2 linked regions of the Schizosaccharomyces pombe genome follow. The protein of the gene in region 1 purifies or fractionates together with the protein of each later gene. This does not show direct contact. Each region holds a gene or a part of one and is shown in the gene's direction. Other genes may lie near its edges.

The links.
Region 2: the proteins of spt6 (region 1) and iws1 purify together in Schizosaccharomyces pombe (affinity purification with mass spectrometry, with the first as the bait; one study listed by BioGRID). This does not show direct contact.

What each region holds. Positions count from the first base shown.
Region 1 is NC_003424.3:4,211,935-4,218,496, reverse strand, and holds spt6 (transcription elongation factor Spt6), read left to right. Parts: upstream 1-1,635; 5' UTR 1,636-1,693; coding exon 1,694-5,791; 3' UTR 5,792-6,021; downstream 6,022-6,562. Other genes in the region: ATP-dependent RNA helicase Has1, read left to right, coding at 1-1,079; mrc1 (claspin), read left to right, coding at 6,154-6,562. UniProt on the Schizosaccharomyces pombe protein: Histone H3-H4 chaperone that plays a role in maintenance of chromatin structure during RNA polymerase II transcription elongation thereby repressing transcription initiation from cryptic promoters.
Region 2 is NC_003423.3:2,378,796-2,382,742, forward strand, and holds iws1 (transcription elongation factor complex subunit Iws1), read left to right. Parts: upstream 1-1,821; 5' UTR 1,822-1,867; coding exon 1,868-3,154; 3' UTR 3,155-3,447; downstream 3,448-3,947. Other genes in the region: nucleoporin Nup44, read left to right, coding at 1-495; TOM complex subunit Tom5, read right to left, coding at 954-994, 1,048-1,090, 1,142-1,207; sec6102 (translocon subunit Sec61-like protein), read left to right, coding at 3,670-3,679, 3,731-3,798, 3,868-3,947. UniProt on the Schizosaccharomyces pombe protein: Transcription factor involved in RNA polymerase II transcription regulation. May function in both SPT15/TBP post-recruitment and recruitment steps of transcription.

The sequences.
Region 1 (6,562 bases):
GTCGTTTACTGGATCACTTGCAAAATACCAAAGGATTTGTATTCCGCAATTTACGATCCTTAGTGATTGACGAAGCCGACAGAATTTTGGAGATTGGTTTTGAGGACGAAATGAGACAAATCATGAAAATCCTTCCCTCGGAAAATCGACAAACCCTCCTGTTTTCTGCTACACAGACAACTAAAGTTGAAGATCTTGCTCGTATCTCTCTTAAGCCCGGACCCTTGTATGTTAACGTTGATTCTGGTAAGCCTACCTCTACCGTTGAAGGATTGGAGCAAGGTTATGTTGTAGTTGATTCTGACAAACGGTTTCTTCTTTTATTTTCCTTCTTAAAACGCAATTTGAAGAAAAAAGTTATTGTTTTCATGTCATCTTGTGCTTCTGTCAAATATATGGCAGAATTACTGAACTATATAGATTTACCAGTACTTGATCTTCATGGCAAGCAAAAGCAACAGCGTCGTACAAACACCTTTTTTGAATTCTGCAATGCCGAAAAGGGAATACTACTTTGCACCAATGTTGCTGCACGCGGGTTAGATATTCCAGCCGTTGACTGGATCGTGCAGTACGATCCTCCTGATGACCCCCGAGATTATATTCATCGTGTAGGTCGTACAGCTAGAGGAACAAAGGGAACTGGTAAATCCCTTATGTTCCTCGCTCCTTCTGAGCTCGGTTTCCTTCGTTATTTGAAAACTGCCAAGGTTTCTTTGAATGAGTTTGAATTTCCTGCCAATAAAGTTGCTAATGTTCAATCTCAGCTCGAAAAGCTTGTTTCCAAAAATTATTATTTGCAGCAGTCTGCAAAGGATGGATACCGTTCCTACTTGCAGGCCTATGCCTCATATTCTTTAAAATCTATCTTTGATATTAATAAATTGGATCTCGCAAAAGTTGCTAAATCATTCGGTTTTGCTCATCCTCCAAACGTCAATATCACTATTGGTGCTAGTGGACGAACAGACAAAAAAGAACGACGTGCGGGTTATAATAAGAAGAATCACGTTGATGTTTATTCAAAACAAAGATCATCAGCTATTTCTCAAGACAAAGAGCGTGGATGGAGCCGCTAAACTTCGTTCATATTAGAAGTTGATTTCATTTAAAAGGTTTATTTAATTCGGTTTTTCTGGCTTTTACAAATGACTTGGATTTTGAATGGTTGAAGGGAATTTTTTTTTCCTTTCATCCTTTTAATATTGGTAAATAGGGTTGTTTTCGCTCAAAAGGTTTACGTGTTTGAAATAATGGATTTCATAATTTTTATTGTAAATACCCGTGTAAGTTATTCAAAGGGAGTTTGATATCGGCTATAAATAAAGCCAAAACTAATCATTGCAACGAATGGTCGTGATCGTAACAACAACGTCTGTCTTGTATATCAAGGACTGTGGTATTTTGTAACAACAATTCAGATTAGCAGCATTGCATATTAGCTCTTGCAAAGCACTTTATTTTTATGCTTATATGTACGATTGAATATTTGTTAGAACTACAAAGCACGTTGCGTTGTCTTATAACATACTAGTGAATTTTAATGTGCTCCTTAAATGTTTTATGATGCTGCATTAACTTTTATTAAAATATCACCATCTAAAGCAAGCGCATCTTCAAGTATTGTATTTCTCTGCCACAATTGACCGCAAACCTTCGAGAAGCCGTTCCTTCGTCCACTATAGAAATAGGAATGAGTGAAAACGAAGTTGTCGGGTCACCAACCACCAATGGTGATAAAAATGAGGATGGTTATCCAGCTGAAAATGGAGAAGGCACAAATGTGGATGACAACAACAATGAAGAGGAAAAGGATGGAATTCCTTTAGATAATGACAATGATGAGAATGACTCTTCTGAAGAATCTGCAACTGATGAAGAAGCTGAGCGACAAGTTAGAGAGGGTTTCATCGTCGAAGATGAAGAAGACGAAGTTCCTCAGGAAATTCGGCGCAAAAAGAAACGTAAGAAGCATGCCGAAAGTACTGCTGATCAAGATATGCTTGATGAGGAAGATCTGGAACTTGTCATGGAGAATACAGGCCAAGGCTCTCGTTTTTCTAAGTTGAGACGTTTAAAACGTGGAAGAGATCAAGAAGAGACTCTTGAAAACATATTTTCTGAGGAAGAAGAAGAAGAAGAAAACGAAGTCGATGATGAAGCTCCTAATCGCACGCAAGGCCACCGCGCTGGCGTTATCGACGAATTTGCAGATTTCATTGAACAAGACGAATTTGAAGACGAAGAGCGTCAAGAAGAAAAATATGAGACTGGTCCGCCCATAGAATCAGTACGACCTGAGGCTTTAGGAATATCGGATGATGATTATATACAAATATACGAAGTCTTTGGCGATGGAACAGATTACGCATTTGCCCTTGAAGATGAAGATGCTGAAGACGAGTTAGAAGAGTCTGTCAGTTTGAAGACCATTTTTGAGCCCAGTGAACTAAAAGATAAAATGCTTACCGAGGAGGATGAGATCATAAGAATCACGGATGAACCTGAACGTATGCAACTTTATATGAAGAGGAACATTGATTGCTCTGAAGATGAATTTAGGGAACAAGTTGCTTGGATTATCGATTATCTCTTAAAAAATAGGCGTGATATTGATGCTGAACTATATGAGCCGTTTCAAACTGCTGTTCGCTATGTAGTTCACTTCTTTATTCGTGATAGTCTTGAAGTACCCTTCATATGGCAGCACCGTCGTGATTATATAGTGCATAACAATCGTGAGAGGAACACAATTACTCCTTTATTAAGTCAAAATGATTTGTGGAATATTTTTTTCCTTTGCACCAAGTTTTGGTCACTTCATTCTAAGAAGCAAGATATCCTAAAATTGTACTCTGATTTGGGAATTAATGATGATTTAGTAGTTCCCTTCTGTGAAGCTGCTTCCTCTCTTGATGCAATTGATGACCTTAATGATTACATACATTTCACTTATTCTGAACAAATCCGTGATCGTGCCTTACTGATGGGTACTGGTCTTCGTCGTCCACAAGGTTCGAAGTATTCTTTTTTTGAAAAATTTAGAAAATCATCACTTTACAATCTCGTCAAAGAATTTGGTATGAGTGCTAAAGACTTTTCGTTCAACGTAGCACAGGGTGCTCGTCTCCGTTTTGTGGAAGACAACACCCTTTCGCCTGAAGAACTAAGTCGTACTTATGTGACAAATGAGCTGTCATCACCTGAGCAGGTACTTCAAAAGGCACGTAGAGTTTTAGCAGAGGAAATTATTCATGATCCTCAATTTCGAAAGTCTTTCCGTGACAAATTGTACAATGCTGGAGTCGTTACTGTTTTGGCCACTCAAAAAGGTGTCCGTAAAATAGGTAGTGAGCATCCTTATTATGAATTTAAGTATTTAAAACGGAAACCCTTGGGCTCGTTTGAGTTAGAGCCAATCCTATTTTTAAAAATGTTAAAGGCCGAAGAAGAGGGCTTAATTCAACTATCGATTGAATTTGAAGATCCTGATGATGTTTTTAAAGGTTTACTCGAGCTTTTTGTTTCAGATAATTTTTCTGAGAACGCAATGCAATGGAATGCTCAGAGAGAATTGGTATTAAAAGAAGTATTTAAAAGGTTTTCTGCATTAGCACCCGATGCCATACGTGAAACTTTACGTTCTCGATACCTGGACGAACTTGGAATGCGCTGCCGAAATCAATTGTTTTCAAGACTTGATCAAGCTCCCTATGAGCCCTCAACTAAAAATTTCGATCGTGGCACTATTCCATCAGTCCTTGCCGTCTCCAATGGAAAAGGTGAATCGTCTGATGCCATTATCTGCGTATTTGTTGATGATGTGGGTGAGCCTACTGATTCATTAAAACTTGCCGATCTACGAGATCTTGCTAATCAAGCAATGTTTGCTGAATTTGTCGAAAAAGTTAAGCCAGATGTTATAGGTGTTTCGGGAATGAGCGTTTCTGCTCATAAAATTCGTCAACACGTTCAAGATTCGTTAACGTCTCACGAACCAGTAGATCTAATCATGGTGAATGATGAGGTCGCTCGTCTATATCAGAATTCTACTCGTGCTGTTGATGAATTTCCTACTCTACCAACTATTTCTTGCTACTGTGTTGCATTGGCTCGGTATGTACAAAACCCTCTGTTTGAGTACGCTGCTATGGGTCGTGATTTGATGTCTTTATCATTTGATCCTTGGCAACATTTGCTTCCCCCTGATGTTCTCTGGAAATACTTGGAAACTGCGTTAGTCGATATATCTTCTTTGGTGGGTATTGACATTAACGAAGCAGTGACTAACAAATATGAAGCTAATATACTTCCCTACATAGCGGGATTAGGTCCTCGCAAAGCAGATTATGTTTTAAAGAAAATCGCTGCTACCGGTGGACGTATTGATAATCGTAGTGATTTAATTTCAAAACAAATAATGTCGAGAAAAGTTTTCATTAATTGCTCTTCTTTCTTCATTATTCCTAATGATGAGTATCCCAATATGGATATTTTAGATTCTACAAGGATACATAATGAAGACTACGAGTTAGCTAGAAAAATGGCAAGTGATGCACTAGAACTTGACGAGGAAGATATTGAAGAGCTTGAAACCAATCGAGGGGTGGTTTACCACCTTTTAGAGGAAAACGAAACAGGAAAACTTGATGAGCTTGTTCTTGAAGAGTATGCTGATCAACTGGAACGTGAATTTCACCAGAAGAAGCGAAACACTCTTGAAAAGATCCGTCTGGAGTTGAAGGATCCTTATGGAGAGCAAAGGAATGTATTCCATAAGCTGACACCTTCGGAAATTTTCCTAATGTTAACCGGAGAAAATCCAGAAGAGTTGCAAGCAGATGCAATTGTACCCGTGAATGTTAGGCGAGTTACTAATAGGTTCGTTGCCGTCAAACTCGATTGTGGAATTGATGGAAATATTAAAGCCGATGAAGTGAGTGACGATTTTATACCCCCTCCCCAATTGCTTCAGGTTGGTCAAACAGTCGAAGGTGTAATTATTTCTTTGGACGAGGCTAATTTTATGGTTGATCTTTCACTTAGAAATAGTGTTTTACAATCGGCAAATTCTAAAAGACAAACTAGCTCTCATCGTACATCTTATTGGGATACTGAGGCTGAAAAGCGGGATACTGAGAGGATGCAGGCCGAAACACAGGCTGAACAACGAGTTGCTCGCGTAATTAAGCACCCGTTATTTAAGGATTTAAATGCCTCTCAAGCCGAAGCATATCTGTCGAAAATGCAAGTTGGCGATCTAGTTATACGTCCATCTTCTAAGGGCTCTGACCATATTGTCGTTACATGGAAAGTCGCTGAAGGCTCCTACCAACATATCGATGTGTTAGAATTGGAAAAAGAAAATGAGTTTACAATTGGTCAGAAATTACTAGTAAAGGGAAGATTTGAAAAAATGACTTATCAATACAGTGATCTCGATGAGCTGATTGTTTTACATATTAAAGCCATTGCTAAAAAAATAGATGAAATGTGTATACATGATAAATTTCGAAAGGGTACACAAGCGGAAACCGAAAAATGGCTTGAGAGTTATTCTGAGGCAAATCCTAAACGATCCTGTTATGCATTTTGCTTTGATCATCAACATCCTGGATACTTTATCTTATGTTTCAAAGCTAGTGTTAATAGTCCTGTAACGGCATGGCCGGTGAAGGTTATTCCAAATGCGTTTTTTTTACAGGGCAACGTTTATGGTGATATGACTGCACTTTGCAATGGTTTCAAATTGCTGTATGCTGCTCGAACTAAAAATTTTAGACGGATGTGAGCATTGATGGTTTAAACGCTTTACTCTTATCTGCAACTACGTGACATTTGTTTTACATAATTAAAGAAAACCACCCTTGGTTTATTTCATTTTCACCGAATTTTTGGCACATTAATATTGAAATATCCCTTTTTATACAGTTGATATCTATATGTTTTTTTTTTTACAATAAATTCTCTTAATACCCTGTATTTTTATGTATATATGTTGTAGTTTTCTTGTTAATAGAGCGCAGCTTGGAAAGTCGCGACGCGTCAAGACGCGTCGCGTTTGTTGATGAATTCTAAGGAGGACTAAGAGATGTATCGCGGCAAAGCAACTACCATTACTCGTTCAATAAGAGCTTTGTGGTGCTTAAATCTATGGCATCTTTAGACGAGAACGCTGATGAGTTGCACAGAATGGATTCTTCTGATGAGGCTTCCATCAATGATGATCAAGAGGATATTTTAGATACGCCTCGCACTAGGGTGAGGAAAATGTTGGCGAGTGTTGATATGCAATTGTCTAGCAATGCTGTATCTGAAGCATCTTTGGATAAAGAGAGTACCGTTGGCAATTTAGAGAATCAGAAAAATCGCTCGTATAGCAGCGAAATCTATCTTCATTCTGATACGAATTTTTTATCTAATTTTGACTCTGCTTATGAACGTGTTAGGCGATTATTAAATCAACAAGGTGGTAAGTCTTCTCTCCAAAAAAAGGAGGTTGAACAAATTGAAACTCAAGAGGGAGGTGATAATGCGAAGGGAAGTCCATCCTCTGAAAATA
Region 2 (3,947 bases), on another chromosome or scaffold:
TACCGTATTCGGATGCGTGAAATTGTTGAAACTTTAGGAAGATTAAGTAACAAACACGACCTTGATTTTAGCATCAAACTTGCCGAGGCGAAAAATCGTCACGTCCGTCTGTCTGAAAGAATTTTACGACTTGCAATTAAAGTACATGTTTTACGACATCGTGGTTATGCACTAAAACCTAATGAAGAAGAGCTACGTAAAAAATTAGATGATTTAACAAAATCGCTAAATAATCCTGAAATTTTTGGTCGGCTCAACGAAATATGGGCAAGAATTACTCTTATTTTTGAAGGAGAAAAGATATCTGAAGATCAGCGAAGTAATTTGGCTAAGGGAGTAGTGGATTGGCGAAAAAATTCTGATCAACTAGAAGTCATTACGGACGTCTTAAGGGATCATCAAGTTGGTCTTTCATATGTGGTAAAACTGATGCAAGAAGATTTAGCGACGTTGAACAAGCAATTAACTGAGCACGTTCCTCAATCACAAAAATAGCGGTAATTCCTACTTCACGTTATTTTCTGTATTTAATTAAATTAGAAACGACCAACATGAAAATCATAGTTAGGTTCCTTTTTTTATTTTTCTGGTAACCGAATTTTTTTTAAGAAATTCATCTAATTGGGAGTCAATTGATTGACAAGTGGTCCAAAAGATATTACTGACTTAAAATTACATATAACGGCGCAGCATCGCACAGGAAATCTATGAACTCTCTATACACATTTAGCTACCAGTTCAATCCATGAACGATTTCTATAATAACCATTTTTTAGTGACTTTACATTCAAAATCAAATAATTCAACCCACTCATGTAAAATTTACGACTCGATCAAGAACGGTAAAAATAAATTGTCTGATTATTTACATACAGTCGATCATAAAATTGTATTCGACGTACAATAACCATCCATTTTTATAGCACAAAAGCCAACACTTGGAATAAATGTTTTTATGCTCGCATCTTTTGAAAAAAAGAAATAACAAAAGGAGCTTATATAAAAGTTAGAAAACCAAGTGAAACCATTACAATTAAAAAAGCTTACTTAACAACAAGACAGCGGCAACTGAGGCACCCTTTTTCATTTCCTAATTATCCATTTCGTTAATATGCTATAGATACGAGAGATAATTACATACGCCGACAGCCAAATTATCATACTGCTTGATTTGCTCTTTACTAGGGCGTCCTGCACCAGAAAACATCTTTATAGTACGTTTATTAACGGTTATTCGAGAAAGAGCTTGTGTGTTTGGCAGAAGCTGGAATAAGTTGGAACATTCACCGACACAGAGAATAGCTTGAATGGTACACCTCGCATCGTTAGACATCGTTAATTATATCATGTTGTTTGTCACTATATTGTAAGCTACGCAGTTTGGTATCTGATTTAAGGATACGTAGAGCTGCGGTAAGTTTTCCTTGTGATCTATTATATTACAATACACAGGTTGTATAAGTAGCAACTGGATATAGGTATTGTATTAACTAGGTTATGATGTTACCTATCACTAATATAGCTCATAACTGAACTGAGGAACGAGGTTCAGCAGTAGCTCTATTTATAGTATTCAGATAATATAGATCTTAATAGATTATCATTAAGATCAATCTCCATATCGTATCATACATGGTACGATATATAATTAGAACATGTGACATATAGTGATACGCAAGTAGTGTATCATAGCGTAGTGTAGTATTGCTGACAGTATACATGCATTACCGAAATCTACAGTTTTTGAACAATGGTGGAGGCTACGCTAGTTCTATTTCATTACTTCTACATATTGGCGGCAGTAAACGTTGAAATTTTTTCAGACTCCCAATTCTAATTAAGTTGTCAAATTTCTGATTCTCCAAAGATGTCAGAAGAAGAAAAGGCTGAGCTTGAAAATATGCAAGTTGAATCTGAGGCAAAAACTTCCGAGAATGATCAAACCATTGATACGAAAGTAGACGTTGCTGATGTTACAACTCATGTGGATGAAGATTTAGATAATAAGGAAGAAGCCCTTGATTTCTCTGAAGATGAATTATCGGATTTGGATGAAAATCAATTTGAAAACTTTGACGAATCCAAAATCGGACGTGAAGCTGAGGAACCTACTATTTATAATCTACCTACGTTTAAGAAGAAGCAAGAGCCAAATACGATTGAAGAAAACCTTGAAGTTCCAAGGAAGGTTAGGAAAGAGCAAAAGCCACGTAGACGTCGTGGTAAGCGTTCATCGACTGTTGATGCTCTCAATGATGAATTAAATGAGCTCGGGGAGAATGAAGAAGAAGTTTTGACTGAACAAAAGCAATTGGATCCCACGCTAGCCGCAAAAAAAGAGTTGGATCTTCAAATGGACGCTGTTCTTAAGCCAACTCGAACAAAGAAGCGATCCAATGAAGACAATCTTGAACAGATGGCTGATGATGAAGTCCTTCGTCTACGCGAACAAATGCGCTTGGCTGCACTTCGTGATGCTGAATTGAATTCGGAACAACTACCGGCTACTGAGAAGTTAAAGATGCTTCCACTAGTTGATGCTGTACTTAGAAAGACCCATCTTTACGATACTATACTGGATAATAACGTCCTTGACTCCGTTCGAATGTGGCTTGAACCTTTACCAGATCGTTCGTTACCAGCGTTGAATATCCAACGATCTCTTATGGACATTTTAACAAAATTGCCCATCCAGACAGAACATCTTCGTGAAAGTAAAATAGGTCGTATTGTTTTGTTTTATACTATCTCGAAAAAGCCCGAGCCATTTATTAAGAGAATAGCTGACAACCTTGTTAGCGAATGGAGTCGTCCCATTATAAAGAGAAGTGCTAATTATCGTGATCGTGCTGTTGGTGTAGCCTCCTTTAACCCTGAAGTGTTTCAAACTCGCCGTCGTCGAGACCTTGCTGCTGCTGAAAGTAATGATGATGCCCAAGCTAGCCGTACAGGTCGTACTGTTATTCCCAGATCCATTGATTCAAGATACCAGGTTGCTCCCAGAGTTCGTCTCAATCCTACGGCCATGACTATTGCGGGACGAATGAAGCCGGCTGATACCGAACAAGTGCGAAAATTAAAGGCCAAGATGAAGGCGATTCGTAGTAAATCATCTAAAAAGAGTGGTGTTAGTATTGAAGGTCGTGGACTTTAATCATTAAAACAGGCATCACAATAATATATAATGAGTCCATTGAAAATTTTTCAATGCTCTTTCATTAGGGTCGAATTATTCATTGGGTTAATGTTACAATTTTATTTTTTCACTGTTTGTATGATGAACGCTTGTTTCCGTACCTTCTACTTATGACTTATGAGATTCATTATTAGAATTCACTTAAAAGGGATCCTTATTATTTTTGATTGTATATAATTCTCCATAAATAAAACTCTAATTTTTATCCTCACTCCTTCATTTTAACTATTTCAATTAATTTCAATCTCTACTTTAACATTCTACTTTTTTTGATAATTTTGTATTAGAGATAAACGCTTTTCATGAATGCAACGTTTATTTGTTTGTTCTTGAGTAGTTTTGTACAGTAGTACAATTTACTCAATTTACAAGCGTACTACGTTATTATTCGTAAAGCAAAATCACTGAACTAGATATCCACCTCGCCATACCAAACGAGAACAGGACAGATAAAACTCACGACAAACCTAACCATGGGCGGAGGTAAGTTATCTGAAGTATCATAGAATAAAGCCATCTAATGTCCTTATTTAGCTCGTTTCATTAATTTCATCAAGCCGCTCAGCTCGTTGCTACCTGAGGTCGAAGGACCCAAAACTCATGTACGTATTTCCATTTTGAAAAAGGCTATGGCAGTCCTTTGAACGTTCATCAATACTGATATATCGTAGCTTGAGTTGGTCGAAAAATTAGGCTGGATGGCTGGATGTGTAGTTGTATACCAAATTTTGTCCATCATTCCAGTTTACGG